2 linked regions of the Oreochromis niloticus genome follow. The protein of the gene in region 2 interacts with the protein of the main gene of each other region in a pairwise test. Links are inferred from orthologs where the notes say so. Each region holds a gene or a part of one and is shown on either strand. Other genes may lie near its edges.

Region 1 (8,140 bases), on a different chromosome or scaffold from region 2:
TCCCTCAGCAGCTGAGATCATCTGATGCTGCGTTCTACCAATCCTTATCACTCATCAATCATTTCACGTATTGATTGATTACCTAGCGTGTCACTAGTCATGATCTGTAAGACAGATCAAACACTGAAATCTGATTGATGTGACTTTGCTCCCATGACCCTGAAACTAATTTTAATGAAGCTTTTTTCTTCTCATTGTTTAACATCATTTAGTCCCTGAAGGCCACACGAAGCATCGGCGTCTCATCGCTGACCGGACGTGCTCGCTTTATTCATTCAATTTAATCCCAAAGGTGAAAAACATCCTCCTGGACACGTCCAAACTCTTCACACGCCTCTGAAGCAGCGAACAAAGGTTTTCACTTTTAAACCCACAGACTCGCTCAGCTTCAGTCAGTGGCTGAAGGCAAACAGGTGTTTGTACCTGCAGGCGGGAGAATGTGATCTTTATAAGCACAGACACCTCACACAAGAACAAACAGCTGATGTTATTAAGATTCATTTCTTCTTCATCGGCACATTAAAGGGTTTCAGGCAGAGTTCGTGTCCACTGCACACAAGATTAGAGTGCTGTGATGTCACCAGGAAACCAAAAAAAAACGTGGCGCAGGTTTTTGGTCAGACGAACACGTCCTGACCTCCAACTCTCTGCTCAGCTTTCACACCACTGAGTGTGTGAGCGTGTCACTACTCATGCCACAGACCAACCAGGACTCAGCTGCAGGCCTCCAGTTCGATCCCAGTGGTTTAAACGAGTGTGTGTGCGTGCATGTGTGTGGCGTCCTGCTGCTGTGTGTTTGTGAAGTTTGTGTGACACCCTCGAGGGCCAAAGAGATCAACGCTCTGATCTTCATCATCATCGTTGTCATCACTGCTGAATAGAGGACAGAAAATCACATACCAACAGGAAGTCACATAATGTACCCAGAGTCTCAGCGTGTGAGTCGGAGTGAGCTCTGATTAGTGGATTCCTGCTGATGGAGCACAGCTTATAAAAATACCGACACCATGTAAACGTCACAATGAACACCTGAAATCCAGGTGAACTCCTGCTCGTCAACTCTGCTCCCTGCAGTGGTCTGAGAGGAGACGAGCTGACAGCTGAAGCCACAGCGCCCCCCTGTGGGGCACACAGGAGCTGCAACGCCTGCTGACCGAGGTTACTGCAGGCTTAACCCTTGCTGTCACAGCTCCTACTCATTGCCATGGTAACACATACTGCAGGCTGGCCTGCTTCAGAACAGGTTATGTTTGTAATCGCACACCAGCTGACCAATCAGATGTCTGGAAGCTGATCGATGACATCAGGATAAGAAGGAAACGTATCGTGAACCTGCGGATGCTGCGCCGCGGTGCTTGCGGGTGCTCCCATCAGTGAGGGATTCTTTAGAGCATGTTTGAAATTATTTAAACCTTTCTGAACTCTCTCACTGATGAGTCTTTCTGTTGGACTGAATTTAGTAAAACTGTAAACTAACAGCCACGAAGCAAGCATGAAGCAGTATGACCTTCATCGCTGTTAACCTGCTCACAGCTGCAGGCAGGAAGAGGAAGTTGAGGAACTCACCGTCTTTGGTGTTGAGACATTTCGTCAGGTTCTCGTTGACCAGCGGACTTTTATTCTGAGGAGAAACATCAGCAAGAGCTCAGATCAGGTCAAAGCGGTCAGTCACACCATCATTGACTCCTCCCAGCTTCCTGACTCCTCCCACCACAATTGTTCACTTTTCCAGAGTGAACGATTGATTTTAATCTACACACACCATGAACCTGCTGTCACACGTGTTCCTGAATTTGAATACTTTATTAATGATGTGGTCACAGTCGATCCGAGACACTAAAAACAGGAACTGATTAAACTAAAGTTAAAATATAGCAAAATAGCTCTTATTATAAATAATTCAGTATGCTACACAAATTAAATAGATATGGTTAACACTGCCCTTTTTATGTGCAGATATTTCAGTGTGTGCTGTGCATTAGATGGAGGGGTTGTTCAGTGCTGCATTACGTGTAATCTCATGCTCTTGTTGTGACTGGCCACCATTCACAGAGTGAGTGGGAGGTATTGTCCAGCATTGTCCTTATCTTGGACAATGACGGACAGCACTGACTGATCAACACTGTGTGAATCACTCACCTCCAGTTTGTCCTGCTCCTCCATTGCCAGGAACACCGCCGCTCTCATCTCCGCCTGCAGGAACATGTCATCGATACAGGCAGTTATTGAAACCAATCAGTAAATACATACATGTCATTCATGACAGACATTTCAAACTAAAAGAGTTTCCTAAATATTATTTCATTTCCATCCATCAGTTTTCTTCCACTCATTCTATTCAGGGTCGTGGGGGATGGAGCCTCTCCCCGAGGCGGGACACACCTGGACGGGTCACCAGCGTGTCGCAGGACTAACAGCGTTTCATTCATTTGCTGTATTTCACATTATTTTTATACGAGCACTCGGCCCGAATCTTCCTTGCTCCTGGATCAGATTTTAGGCTAACAGGTCCCACCTGTGCTGAAGTTAGCACGCACGAAACTAGACCTCCACCATCCACACAGCGCTTAGTTTAGATATAAGTCACAAACTGATCAGATATAAATCAGAGTGGTTTCAGGTTTGGAGGCGAGTCTTTCTCAGCTCCATTCACCTGACGCTGTCGAGTCACATGACAAAAACAGGGAGTGAAAGGAAATAAAAAAGGAAAACCATTTTTATTTGTTCTGTGAGGTTTCTTCTTCTTGGCTGTGAGCTTTGAGGTTCTACTCTGAGCCGCAGTTACACGCTATTAGTAATAAAATGTCTCCTCTACTCTCGCGGATGTTTAAACTGTACTTCCATTTTCGAAAGGTCAGATCCTGCTTCATCGACACCAGCAGCAACAGAGCTCACACAGCTGCTGAGCCTCTACACTCAATAAGAACTTCATCTCTCCTCTCAGGTTAAATAAAATAAACCTAAAACAGTCTCTGAGTAGCCGGTTAGTAGCCGTTAGCTGCCTGTTAGCTGCGGGTAGCTGTAGCCTATCCCGCCGTCAGGGCGCCTCACGTTAAACGTGACCTTTCACCTTCAGCTTGTTCAGAGCTCCGCTGTTCTCAAGGTTCTGGATCAGCAGGTCCCGCAGCTCCGTGTCGTCCTCGGCTGCTGACATGTTTCTGTCTGAATCTAAAGATGCTAATGTAGCTAACCGCTGCTGCCAGGACAACACACCAAAACAATCTGACGCAACTTCCGCCCTTTCTTCTTCTGTTGCTCTTTAGCCGATCTGAATGCCATCTGCTGGCTTGCAGGCTGAGTTGGAGCTGGATAATTTACCTGTTTAACAAACTGCGTTAACGCCTTAGTTTACTTCACGGTCCGTGAGATGGATTCAGAGTCACGTTTTTCATTTTATTTCCACTTTTATTTTATTTTATTTTTACATTTGAGCGTTTGTGTGATTTCTAACTTTCTGAGCTAGTTTGTGACCTTGTATTTATTGTATCTCCAGACCGAGTCTGTCTTCACATCAGATCCATAACTGTGCAGTCGTTCCACCTCTGCTACAAAAAGCTTCACAGGGGCCGAAAAATAAAATAGAAGACTCATAACATCCCCAGTGAGTAAAAATACTGCACTGTACTGCACGGAATACTGCATACAAAAATGTTACCAGAGATTACCAAAATGCCTGTGGCCATCTCCCTGTACAACTCGTCCATCTAATACACACTAAACACTACAATAGTTACATCCTTTTTGCACACACTCTTTCTTACTCTGTAATGTTTCTGTCAATTTCTTGATATTTATTTATAATCACATCTGTCAACCCTGAATATTTATTATTTGTATATATTGTATATATTGGGCTATTCTTCATATCTTAACATATTGTATTGATAAATGGTCTAGTTTGTTTTTGTCAATGCTACTGTACTGGCGCAACTTGTGGGACAATTAAAGGATTATTCTATAACTGTAACCCACATAATTTCCCTAGGGATTAATAAAGTATTCTGATTCTGATAAAATCAGGAATGGCTGTCACATACAGTAAAACACCGTCAGTGCCTCAGTTTTGAGTGCGACCGACAGACTTAAAAAAATGAATTAATTTATTAGTTAATGATTTAGTGTTTTGTCAGTTTTGTCCTTCCATACTCACACGATGAAACAAAGACTTTGCCTTCAGATGAGGTGAGCTGTTTGTGTGTGTGTTCTTCAGCCAGATGCCAAAAGATGTTTCTGAGACTGAGCTGAAGAGAAAGCAGGAGGAGGAGGAGGCAGACGGAGGGGAAGAGGAGGAGGAGCAGGAAGCAGAGAAGCACGCGCAGACGCACGGGCACGGACCGCCGGTGGATCACGGAGCATCCGCCGTCTCTGCGCAGCTGCATGTATCAGAAGCAGCACGGCCGGCCTAACATCGGAGCTATGGCCGACGACGGAGCTCCATCCACGGCCTGCACAGGCTCCAGCCTTCTGCAGCCGCTCAGTGAGCTCACCGACCTGCCGCTGGACCAGGTAAGAGCCGCCGGAGCCCGGACCTCCACCCCGGACCCCGGCGGCCGCCGCTCCGGAGGTCGGAGACGGGGGGACAAAGAGAGACGAGGACGGGGAAGGGAGGGGTCTTTGTCCGTAAAAATAAAGGGTGGAGGCCTCGTGCAGACTCCAGCAGCTGTGATGGAGGAGAGGCTTCATGCTGCCCATTCACGTGAGGAGGAGGAGGGAGGGGATGTACGAGTGCGGCTGTGCGGACGGTTTCTATTGTGATGATGGTGAAGGGGGAAGTCATGTCGGTGGTGGTGGTGGTGGTGGTGGAGGGGGGCTGTCACCCGTGATGCTCCTGAGGCTCCACATTTCTGTGGGCGGAGGTCTCGGCTGCTCCGGGGTCAGGTGTGGAGCTTCTCTGACGCAGGTGTTGCTCAGGTGATAACCAGGCACAGCCATGACCGCCACGTCAGCTCCTGATTGGTCATTCCTCAGTCCAGAACTCAGAGGGGAGCAGCTGCTCACTCAGCAGATGTAGATCACAGTGTGGTTGTATGGACCTTCATTAGGTGATCCTGGTGAGCTGCACGCTCCTCCCCTCTGACTGGCTGACAGCCAGGCCTCTGGAGCCGGATCAGGTGACCAGCTGCCTCTGTTTACTGGTTTTACGGGGAAGTACTGGTGACACCAGTATCTCCTGTGGGCTGATGTCATCGTCTGCAGAGAGAAATCCAGTTTGTGGGCGCTGCCAGAGGTGCTCCGAGAAGGAGGCCGGGAGGTGCGACCCTCACCGAGGTCACTCCATCTCAAACAGCACTCTGATGTTATTCTGGTAGTATTCTGGTAGTAATCTGGTATTATTTTGGTAGTATTCTGGTAGTACTCTGATGTTATTCTGGTAGTAATCTGGTATTATTTTGGTAGTATTCTGGTAGTATTCTGGTAGTACTCTGGTATTACTCTGTAGCAGACAGTGTCTGGACATTAACATGGCTGTTACTGTGTTGATGATGATTAAGATCCTCCTCCTCGCCCTCTTGCAGGAGGAGCTGCTTGGAGAAAAAGGCGGCTATTTTGTGCTTGTATTGGCTCTGAAAGAGTCATGTGACTCCTCTCTGACGCAGCGCAGTCACCTTCTCTAAGTGAAGGTGTTAGAGAAGGTGAGGGGTCAGCCTGAAGGAAGCGGAGCAGTCCAACGGTGGGTGGGTCTGCCCTCTCTCACCTGGACATCCTGAAGCACCAATGACGCGCTGTCTGTTTGCTTCGCCTGCAGGTGAACTTCGTGGCGTGCCAGCTCTGCGCTCTGATCTCTGCCTTCTGGTTTCGTCTCTTCCTTCATCCCAGTAAGACCAGTCCCGTCATCCGGCACGCGGTGGCCACGCTGCTGGGACTCTACTTCGCCATGTTCTGCTTTGGCTGGTAAGACAGACTGTGACTCAGGATCAATAAAACTGAGCTCTCCAAAGTCTGACTTATCCTAAAATTGAACCAATCAGAGTTCTGATAGAGGTTTACTGTCATGCCTGTGTCGCTCATCTCAGCTATAAAGGAAAAATGACACAATAACGACGTGTTAGGAGCAGAAAACATCAGATGTCACTGGATTAAATAAGAAGCCGCTGTTAGAGCAGCTTTGCATGACTCACAGTAATTATAATCCTTCTTTCTTTCTCTCGCTATCTGAAACAATTTATTTTAGCTCCTCCCCCTTTAAGAAAGCTTTCTTCTGATTCGCTCTGTGTCTCAGATGACCCTAAAACAAGCTCTCAATGCTTGTTATGTTTAACGTGAGCGTTTGTCACAGCAGCAGCAGATACGTCACGTGTTCTGGTCAGCTGGTGTCTGTGTTCTCCTTGTTTTACAGGTATGCTCTCCACTTCCTGGTTCAGAGCGGACTCGCCTATGGCATCATGATCCTCACTGGAGTCGAACACATGCACAAGTGAGCGTCACAAACGACACGGATTAAAACGGTACTAACAAGCCATTAACGAGCTCAGGGTTAATGAGGAAACTTTTTATCACCTGTGATGTCAGGAGAGCAGCTCACAGTCGGACCTCAGTTATTTCCAGCTCTGTGAACATTAGGTCATGAATACTGGCACAAAAGGACTTGCACAGATTCGGATGTCGTAAAAGTAACAATGTGGTCCTTCCAGCCAAACAAACATGACTGCAGCAGGTGTTCTGTGCTAAAAAGGATGCAAACTTCAGACTGGTGAAGTTCTTAAACCCGTGGAGCTTCACATGAGCTACAGTCAGGAACCTGAGTGAGCCAGATCATCACAGAGGTCCTCAGACCTCAGTGAGCTCGTCAGGGTCGCCGACCCCACGTTGAATAACGGCCTGCTCTCTGTGTTTTTCCAGGTACTGCCTAGTAGTGGCGCTCACATACCTGAGCCTGTGTCAGATCACTCGAGTGTACGTCTTTGACTACGGCATGTACACCGCCGATTTCACAGGGTAACACCTCCGCTCTGTGGCCCATTCACTCCTAAACGCCTCCCCATGTCCAGGCTCTAACCTCTGCCTCTGCTCTCTCTGCAGCCCCATGATGGTCATCACTCAGAAGATCACCAGCCTGGCATTTGAGATCCATGACGGTGAGCTGCACTCTCAGACGGGCTGTTTTCAGTAAATCCTGCAGGTTTTACTGTCCACTCTGTGTTTCTGACAGGAATGGCTCGGAAGGAGGAACATCTGACGGCGGGACAGAAGATTCTGGCAATAAGGTTTGTTCAAGGTAGAAACATTATTTACTGGAGCAGAAATCAACGTGTTTAAGCAGGAGGGTGGAGCTTAAGACAAAATCCATACCTCCATGGTAGACACTTGTCAATCAAAGGTATCTCTGCCCTAAAACTTCTCCCTAAAAGTGATGCAACTTCCAGCTGTACTTCTGTTCATGCAAAACAGGTTTAGTATGAAAAAATAGCTTAATCTAAACTAAAAACAAAAAATACGCAATCAGACTCGAGTGTAGGGGTAGGACCTCGGCTGAGTCACTTTCCCTGGTTGGTTACTGGATCAGTCCTTCAGATCTCATGACATAGCGGAACCATTTGAATGGTCATCTTCCTGCTCTTAGTAGATCTTTGCATGAACAATCCTCATTCTGTAGCCTTCATTTTTCATTGCGTTATCGGCAGTGTTGGAGTTGCAAAATGTTGATTCTGTTCATCTGGATGTTTCGTCACTCATCCAGGTGGCTTCTTCAGTCTCAGCTCACTGCAGGTTTCCTCAACCTTAGGAACAGTACATTTGCACAATAACTGAAATTAGCCCTCTAAATGAAACATGGGCTCTGAGGTCAGTTCCTTGATCATTAATCAATCAATGGTAGGCAGCTCTGAACAGCACATCCAGAACACCTTTGGTTTTATTGAGAAGGTGAGAGATGTCATTATAGAGCCAAATGAAACAATGGTCTCATACTATGTTACAACTCTCCTCACTAGTGTTCCAGTCACTGAAGCGTTGGAGGTAGTTCGTAAGAGATTACAGGTTGACCCCAACCTTAGCAACAGGACCACTCTCAGCACGGACCAAGTGTGTTTACTTTTGGAACTGTGTCTTAATTCCACCTATTTCACATACAAGGGTCAGTACTACAGGCAGAAACATGGGTGTGCCTTGATTTCCCCAGTTTCACCCATTGTGGCCAACA
Region 2 (8,508 bases):
CGGGCTAACGCTAGGATAACTACTTGGCCAACAAGTGTGCTAGCCCGAAGCTAACATTAGCAAGCTATAATAGCGACTGCAAGCCTTAAATAGAGCTTTCAGCTAACGCTAACTTGACAACCAGGCTTGAAGGTTCCTCCCCATGATCCCCGAAAAATAACACTGTTAAGCGGTGCTTTAGAAATCACTAAACATGCCAATTCGCAAACTATTCCGCACAAATGAGCTTTATTTAGCTAAAGAAGGCGACGCAGGAGCAGAGAAGCTTACCGGAGAATCCACACCAGTTAAACTTGATTAGAACTTCAGTCCCGAACGATCCTCGACGGTGTGCAAAACGTCTGTATATCCTTTAAAAGTTATTCCACCGTAACAAGTGCTCCCCGGTGGTACAGCCGGTGTATAAATAACTTAGTACAATGGTTACTCCAACTATTTACAGTGCAACTTTTCTTCTATCTTTTCGGCCCTTGGATAATTCCGCTATGGCGAAGGGGAAGCGGAACTACCGACCCAGCCCTGGCCTATTCAATAAAATGTTTCAAATGAATGGTGGGTGAAGACAGTCAGCTATCTTAAGCAAAGAAAAAAAAGAAAAGAAAAATCAGAGCCCGTGTGCAAAACCACACGGATCATAATGTGCAATAACACGTTTTTAAGCATTAAGAATAATAAAAATGTGAAACATGCTGAAACTTATTAAAGTGGAAGTTTCATTAGGTTTTAGGTAATGTAGTTCAGCATTTACAGACGTAATTTTCCAGCTGCAGAGCAATTATTTTGTTAATTATAACTATAATGTGGGAGGTTTCTCTCACTAATCTGACATTAATGTAACGTTTGTTTATTTTCCTGCCCTAGGAAATTTTAAATGGCCTAATTTTGAAAGCTTAATTTTATACTCAGATTTTTACAGCGTAAATGAAAGAAGAAGAAAAAAAGCCAATAACATACTAGCCAGTGTACTTTCTATACACACATCGTTGTTCATCACGCTGTGAGAAACAACAGAAAAATGTATAGACTTATGTTAAGTCACAAAGACTCATTCCAAATGAGGGCAAAATTTTTATAGCAACAACAAAAAATGCCTATTTTGAGGGAGGAAAAGCAATATAGACATATAATATGTTAGTTATATTAAAAAAAGGGAAGATAATAGGTTAACTACTTATTAGTTTTCCTGCAGTATAGTTCATAAACTAGTAAGAACTTATAAAGGTTCTTTAGCTTCCTTTAGGGGTTGCCACAGTGGGTCATCTGCCTCCATCTCACCTTATCCCAACATCTTCCTCAATTTTGTGATTGTGCACTTCCTGGTTCTTTCTAATGAAAATCTAAACATGTTCAACTCCGCCACCGCCAGGTTGGCCTCCTGAGTCTTTATCAGTGCCATCTCATCTCAGGTCTCTCTACCATCATGTAAACCTTCACTTTCACTCTGCTGCTATCCTTCAGTCACAAATCACCCCTGACACTCATCACCACCAACTCCAACAGATACAATTGACTTTATAACAAAAAATTTCTATATTTTGTGCATATAGTTATCAACTGAAGTTAAAATAGGGCTAGATTGTACTTTTCTGTATTAACAGTTTGTTCCACAAGATGGTGTAGAAAGTCAACATGAGAGGAAGAGGAAATATGGAGAAGCAGAGGAAGCACCTGGAAAGTAACCGTTATCAGCAGCAGCAGCATCACCTCCCAAAGGGAAATCAAGTAAAAGAAGAGTAAACATAAGTGCAGCTTTCCACTGCTGGAGACAGCTCATTGAAAATACAGGAGTTAATGAGCATGCTGAGTATATTACTGGTATGATAAAAGCTCTTGGTGCTAATTTTCCCAGTCAAAAATAGCGATCAAGCAAGATATCTAATGCTATTTGCAGTGGGTGTGCTCTTATTGATATGTAATTTAGACAAAAGACAGTTGTGTCACTGTATGTGATCATCTCAGGTAGAGAGTATATCCAGATCTTTACTGGGGGATCTCAGGTACATTTTCTTACTACAGGAGCTGGTACTGCCCCCGGTGGTGAAAGTTCTAGTTAAAACGTCACAGCCCATTGTTCCTTCTGTGGGCTGGTTTCAGTCATTATGCAAATGTCCTGTTTATAAGGTTTGGGGAAACCTGCAGTCAGCTGAGACTGAAGAAGTCACTTGGATGAGTGACGAAACGTTTCTCCCACAAAACGCTACGTCCAGATGAACAGATTCAACTTTTGGAGAAAGTTCTAGTTACATTTTACAGAGGATGATTTCAAAAACACTTCTACTGTTGACACTATGTGACTATGCACCTCTCTTTGCTCACTGGTGATCCATAATATGCTGCAGACTTAAATCTTTTTAACAAACTATGTGATTATACAATTTCTAAATTGCCCTAAGCATTTTCTCTGCAAAACAAGAAAAAAATTTGACTGGCTCTTCATTGACTGCATTGTGTGAAGGCGTTTCCATGTTGAAATAGGTTGTGTAGTGCCACATGCACTACCCAACAGGGTCAAGAACATACAACTACAAATGGAGCCTTTTAGGAGACCAAAACTGGATAACAGATGCAATAAGACAAGACAGATAAGCTGGAAGAATAAAAAACTTGTTTTGTCCTGACAGCATGCATGGCAGCACAGTTTGTCACTCATAAATCAAACGTCCAAACATTGGCACAGTATGACACCCGGTACTCTGTCTCAAATGGATATGACCTTTACCTCATCATGGCATTCTTTAAACTGCCACAAGAAAAGAATACTATTAACATTGTTGTTATATTGTATTTATAGCAGTCTGAACTGTATACATTTTATTCAGTGTTAAAATACAGATTATACTACTGTAGACTCCAGTTTTATAATCGTGTTATTATAATAGCCCATGTTATAGACAAAAATAAATGAAAATCACTACCAAATACCCCAAAACAGTACAAACTAATAGATTTTTATGTTCCTTAATTAGGTGCGCTAAACTGAACAGATAAAGAATCATGATCCTCCCAAAATGAGGTCATAGCAGGAAAAATGCTTGCACAGGTTGCGGGATTCACCAAAATAAACATAGTTACATTGGCTGGAATGGAAAAAGATAAATTCTGATATCTTTCAGCATTTATCTGTTGTTTCAGCAATATCTCAGTATTCTTTCCCATCTCAATTAGTCCTGTTCTCTGCTTGCAACATTTCTGCAGATAAGATAACAACACTGAAAGTGCCTCTTCCTTGTTAGTTTGATAAAAAAAAACAACAACAACATAATGCCAGTACAATTTTTGCTCTTTAAATTATTTGATGTTTCCACATGTATTTGGACAGTGCCACACAGCAGATCATTGTGACAAGAAGAGTCCCTCCGCATACGTGTGCCACCAAAGACCCATCACCCACTGGGAGCTGGAAACTCACTGGATTGAGATCCTATAAGGCAAAAAGGGAAACAATTGAATGATTGAGTTTTGTTTTTTTAAATCACCTTTTCACTCAAGATTTGGTGAAATATTGTACACAATCACCTGCTGAGGCTTGACTTTAACCCAAGAACAAGTGCTTGAATTGCTGGCAGTGCATGGTGCATCCACAACTGTGTGAGGCTCTAAGCTGCTAAGCTGTGCACCTGGATAAGAGAAATAGTTTTAGAAGAAAGTGTTTCAGAAAGCCAAACTGAAAAGTCACATTTTTTAAGTCACATTTTTGTTTTTATACTATAAAGTTTTGATCATTAAAGTTATTATATGTATGCAACCTATCCACAACCACAAAACTGAAATAATTTGGTAATATTCATTGACACTCCACTTTCATAGAAAACAGATACAAATTTAGGATTTTACGCTCCGACATCATTTAGTTTAATTATGCAGTCACGTAAAATTATATTGCAAACAGTAAGGTTGATTTAATGTATTTCGTTAATTTGTTTCATTACACATCATGACACAACATTGCATTTTAAATACCACATTTGGTTTACATTGTTTTCTTTCTGTATAGATTTACATAGTGTCAGAAATTGCTATAAAATAAAATGAATCCACTTACATTTTTCTGTCCGCAGCAGCAGCTCTGGAGCTTCTATGTCAACAGATTTAAACATTTTTCCATCAAATGAGGGCTTGTGGTAGCGACCATGTATTGGAATTGTTACTTTGAATAACTTGGAAGTTGGTCCAGTGGAGAAAGGATACACATAGGTGACAAATCCTGAAGCTTCGTGAGCAGGAACCTCAAGGTCAATGGGTGAATCTAGTAATATCTTACAAAGTTTAACACAGAAATAATTAAATAAAACATATACACTGTGCACATGTTTTGTACATGACTGTGGTTTGTAGTAGAATTTTACACTGCGTTATACTACATCTAGTTGCTCGGTGTCTTACCTTCCACTTGTTTTGATCGCTAAGGGATGCAAGTTGATATGGATCAACATAGACATCTCTGGGCCATCTATGAATCAGCAAAACTTTGACACCACAGAGCTCTTTGGATCTGAACTCAACTGTAGTTGTCACCTCCCTAAAACATATTAGAAAATATCATTGATTCTCCTGACAAGTAGCCCCAAAGGCAGAACAGCTTTCTTTTGAGAAAACAAACAACCGAATACCTGTGGAAACCCTTTTTGTTGAGCTCCACTGTCACTGATGAGGGCGCAAGCCACTGCCTCAGAAGATCACAGTGATTCTGAATCTCATCTGCACAAATTAGCAGGTTACACTGATCAGTATCTCCAGGTAAAAGCTTTTTGAATTTGAACATGTATCTATATTTTTGGAAAATCGCAGGATGGGATTAAAGATGCATTTGTTTTTCAAACTATGCTAGATTATATATGTCATGTTATCCATACAGGGGTATATTTACAGCACTTTTTTGTCTACTGTAAAAATACTATTCCTTCCCTCAAACAAAAAAACCAAAAAAAACCCCCAACAACTTAATTTAAATGACCTTCAATCAATAATAATGAGAGCTTATTGAATGACTATCGAGTTTTCACATAGAACCTAGCTCACGTACCCTTTTCACCCAAACAGTGACATTTCGAGAATAAGCTCAACGCAGAAACAACACAGAACAGTTTAAAATACATTAAAAATATAATGGCCAACGCTGAGACGCGTTTATAGGCTGTTTATTTAACTCAAGCACAGCTACCACCGCTTAAGCGCTTCTTTGAAGTGTTTACGGAAGATGATTTTTTGAAGGCCCCTTTTGTAGTTTCAGGGAGCCTGCAAATGTGCCTGTGTAGAGATTGAAAAACACAAGCTTTTAAGGAAACATTTAGTAACATTTATAGACATAGAAAGCAGTTTTCAGGAATAAAATGAATAATAATGATACGTGAAAGTTAAATGATTTTATATTAATTTTTTAAATCCGAAATTTAGCGTCAGGCATCCCAACAAACAGAAGCGTCTTTACGTAAAGGCTCTGCTGGCAACCTGGCAACGCGTAATCATCCCTGAAGCCGCTGCTCGATTTTTTTTTATTCATACTGTGCGCTAGTAGCAATAATTATGGCTGCGATGTTTCTGTTTTAAACATGTTTAAATTGATGGTCGGATTGGGTTAAGTTTGTTTGTTGTAATAGAAGTACAGGATGCGTTTTGCGGCAAAGCGCTGCGGGGTGCAGTTCAGCCCTCCATCCATAGTTTTAATTTATGAGCACACGGAAACCAAAAAGGTGCGAAAAAGAATAATACCTGTGCGAAATTTCTCCAAATACTCCGGTAAGGCACCACGGACACATTGGGACTCGTTCTCTGTGCTCCATGTCACATGTTACAAGGTAGCTACAATCAGTGTGAGAATATTATTTTAGCCTCGTTTGCTGTATATTAATAATTATATAATACTCTAGTAAATCTAACAAATCTGTCAGAGTCATGAGGCCCTGAAGTTTTGATTTCTATATCTCGTGGATAGCAGCAGGTGGATTACCTGCAAGCTGCTGAGCCTCAGGCTCCTATTTCTGACTAAAATAGGAGCATCTTACTTTGTTTAACTAAGGTCATTGCTAGTGAGTGTTAATAATAAATAACTAATATGTAATACATGGAAACATACATTTATCGTTCTGCGTTTTTTCCTTCCTGTTTTTGTTAGTCCATTTTTTGAGACATAGGTACTGTGATCAGAGCTGGAGTCGTGAATGCACACTGCATTAACATATGTATGTAGCTTATTTTGTTCTTGTAGATTGCCACGAAGTAGCTGGGCAGGACTACAACCATCCTATTACCTCATGCCGTCTCTTCCAGACTACAGCATGGCTGCTGAAAGGCTGAAGAACAACCCTCGACACAGGGACTACCTGGAGGGTGTCTCTCAGAGCCAGCTTGAGAAGCTTCACATTATCCTACGCGATCACATGCAGGGCTTCAGTCTGGAGCACAGCCTCTCCTCGTTCTGTCTGGACCCTGACGAAGACCTGAACAAACTGGACGATGAGGAGCTGGCACGCAAGAAAGGCCAAATGGACGAACTGTTTGAGAAAAACCGGAGGCACAAAGATGATCCTGACTTTGTTTACAACTTGGAAGTTGATTTCACTAAGACCACCTTAGAAAAGTGCAGCTGGGATGAAGAATCAGATGATGGATTTTAAAACTCTCTCTTCATCAATGTTTTAATTAAGAATGTAGATGTAAATCTATAGTGAGACTGCAGGAACATACAACCCAACTGTTGTAGATGGCAATGCTTCAATAAACGTCAATATAGTAGAAACACTATGCCTTTAATGACAAAAAAACCACCATGAACCTCCCTTAATGGCAAGCAAAGACCAAAGCCTGTTAATCAAGGGAAACTAGAGCTATGATTTTGTGTCTGTGTACCATAGCATTAATCTGTAAAAAACAAAACAAAAATAAAATAAAGGCATAAATGGTCATTAGGTAAGGTAACAATAGTAACTGTTACTATTGGTTTGATCCAGTTAGTCATAATTTATTTCACTTGAATGCTTCTTGATAGACAAAGTTAGGATATTTCTGGAATCCTGTAGTAAGTTATTTTTATTATATTTTTTAAAGACAGACCATTTCTTCAGCTGTAGCCTCATGGGCACTAAAATATATCTTAAAAAACAAGACTGTTTACTTATGGATTTTAAAGTCATAGCCTGGTCCAGTAATACGTTAGGTGATTTACAGATGTCAAGTTTCAAATCTGACACTTTTTAGAGGTGACTTCAATGCTGTCAGCAGAAATGTTGATTGTGCACGAGCTCTTAGTCACAACCAATAGAGATATTAAATTTACAACATCCAGTGACTGCAGTCTCTAACACTGATGACATAAAAGCACCTGTTTTAAGGCAAATTACTACACCCGAGATACTGTTACCCAAGTAACTAACCCATAGTTTAAGTTCGTTAAGCGTTTCCCTCAGGTAAGGGTTAATAAACTCCATTTTCATTAACTTGCTTTCGGGAACAGGCCTCCAGCAACACCTAAACTTCAGTCATGAAATGAAACAGGCACAGAGTCTAGAGGAACATTTCTAAATCAGGGGAAACAAAACCAAACAATGTTTGAGAACAACCTGATAATATAATGATAACAAACATAAAATTCCGTTTTAAGGTGCAATAAACAAAATTATGCATGGATAATAGTGAATCTTTATTTGTTATAAAATACTGAATTTTACAAAATACAAAGACTTTGGTTCTTTTATTTGTGGCTTACACCTAGATGAGTGATATTCACAGTTGAATATGAAAAGAAGATTCTAAAATCCTATTAAATAAAATCTGAGTGTACACCAGGAAGTAAGCAATACAACAAATATATCTTTGGGAAAAAAAAAATGTGTCCACAAAATAGTTTTATATCATACAAAATATATATACTTCCATATATATGGTTTGACATGATGTTCTATGGCAAAAGTTTTAAAAGAGATAAACTATATCATAAAACTAAGCCTGCATTATCAAACCTTTTAAGGGGAAAATGTCATTCAAAGTGCTTAAATACCTCATTCAGTTGACAATAGACACTGACTGACTGACTGACCATTAGTACCACAATACATTCAAAGATGTCGCAGGTTTTTGTTAAAATGCAATACAGAATGATTTTACATTGCTTTGCTAGTTTGGTTTAAGCTAATCAAAACAGTTTTTTACATTGTTATCAATTGCAGTCATTTTTGCAGTGCCGATGTATTCCCTAAGGAGGTAGTAACAAAAAAAAAAAAAACCTGACAATTCCTTTTCCCATCACCATTTACACATGGATTTGGGCAACTGAATTGTAAATTCTCAGCAGGCTGTTAATTTATTTAAAAGTCATTTATAAAACTGATATTTCAAGTATGCTTAAGACACAATCCGGGTTTTTGAGTTTCTTTTTACACACACACGCGCGCGCCTGACACACACACTCTCACACACAAAGCAAATGACTTAAGAGGAACAACTTTCTGAATGACAATTTGTGAAACTACACCCAGAAGATTACCCAGATTTACCCAAAGTAGACAAATAATA

The links.
Region 1: the proteins of cep19 (region 2) and cep43 interact in binary tests that used the Homo sapiens proteins (3 or more experiments, as listed by UniProt). The two-hybrid records come from large-scale screens. The link is inferred for Oreochromis niloticus from reciprocal best matches to the Homo sapiens genes CEP19 and CEP43.

Annotation. Positions count from the first base shown.
Region 1 is NC_031980.2:25,517,827-25,525,966, reverse strand, and holds the start of cep43 (centrosomal protein 43), read right to left. Parts: upstream 3,204-8,140; 5' UTR 3,155-3,203; coding exon 3,071-3,154; intron 2,194-3,070; coding exon 2,140-2,193; intron 1,622-2,139; coding exon 1,567-1,621; intron 1-1,566. Other genes in the region: mboat2b (lysophospholipid acyltransferase 2b), read left to right, coding at 4,378-4,506, 5,747-5,892, 6,338-6,415, 6,841-6,936, 7,021-7,076, 7,151-7,205. UniProt on the Homo sapiens protein: Required for anchoring microtubules to the centrosomes. Required for ciliation.
Region 2 is NC_031986.2:38,135,668-38,144,175, reverse strand, and holds cep19 (centrosomal protein of 19 kDa), read left to right. Parts: upstream 1-5,432; 5' UTR 5,433-5,606; coding exon 5,607-5,736; exon of another isoform or gene 5,737-5,778; coding exon of another isoform or gene 5,779-5,795; intron 5,796-6,112; exon of another isoform or gene 6,113-6,187; coding exon of another isoform or gene 6,188-6,267; coding exon 6,268-6,614; 3' UTR 6,615-8,086; downstream 8,087-8,508. Other genes in the region: pigx (phosphatidylinositol-glycan biosynthesis class X protein), read right to left, coding at 3,284-3,421, 3,517-3,617, 4,043-4,256, 4,384-4,519, 4,611-4,698, 5,024-5,096. UniProt on the Homo sapiens protein: Required for ciliation. Recruits the RABL2B GTPase to the ciliary base to initiate ciliation.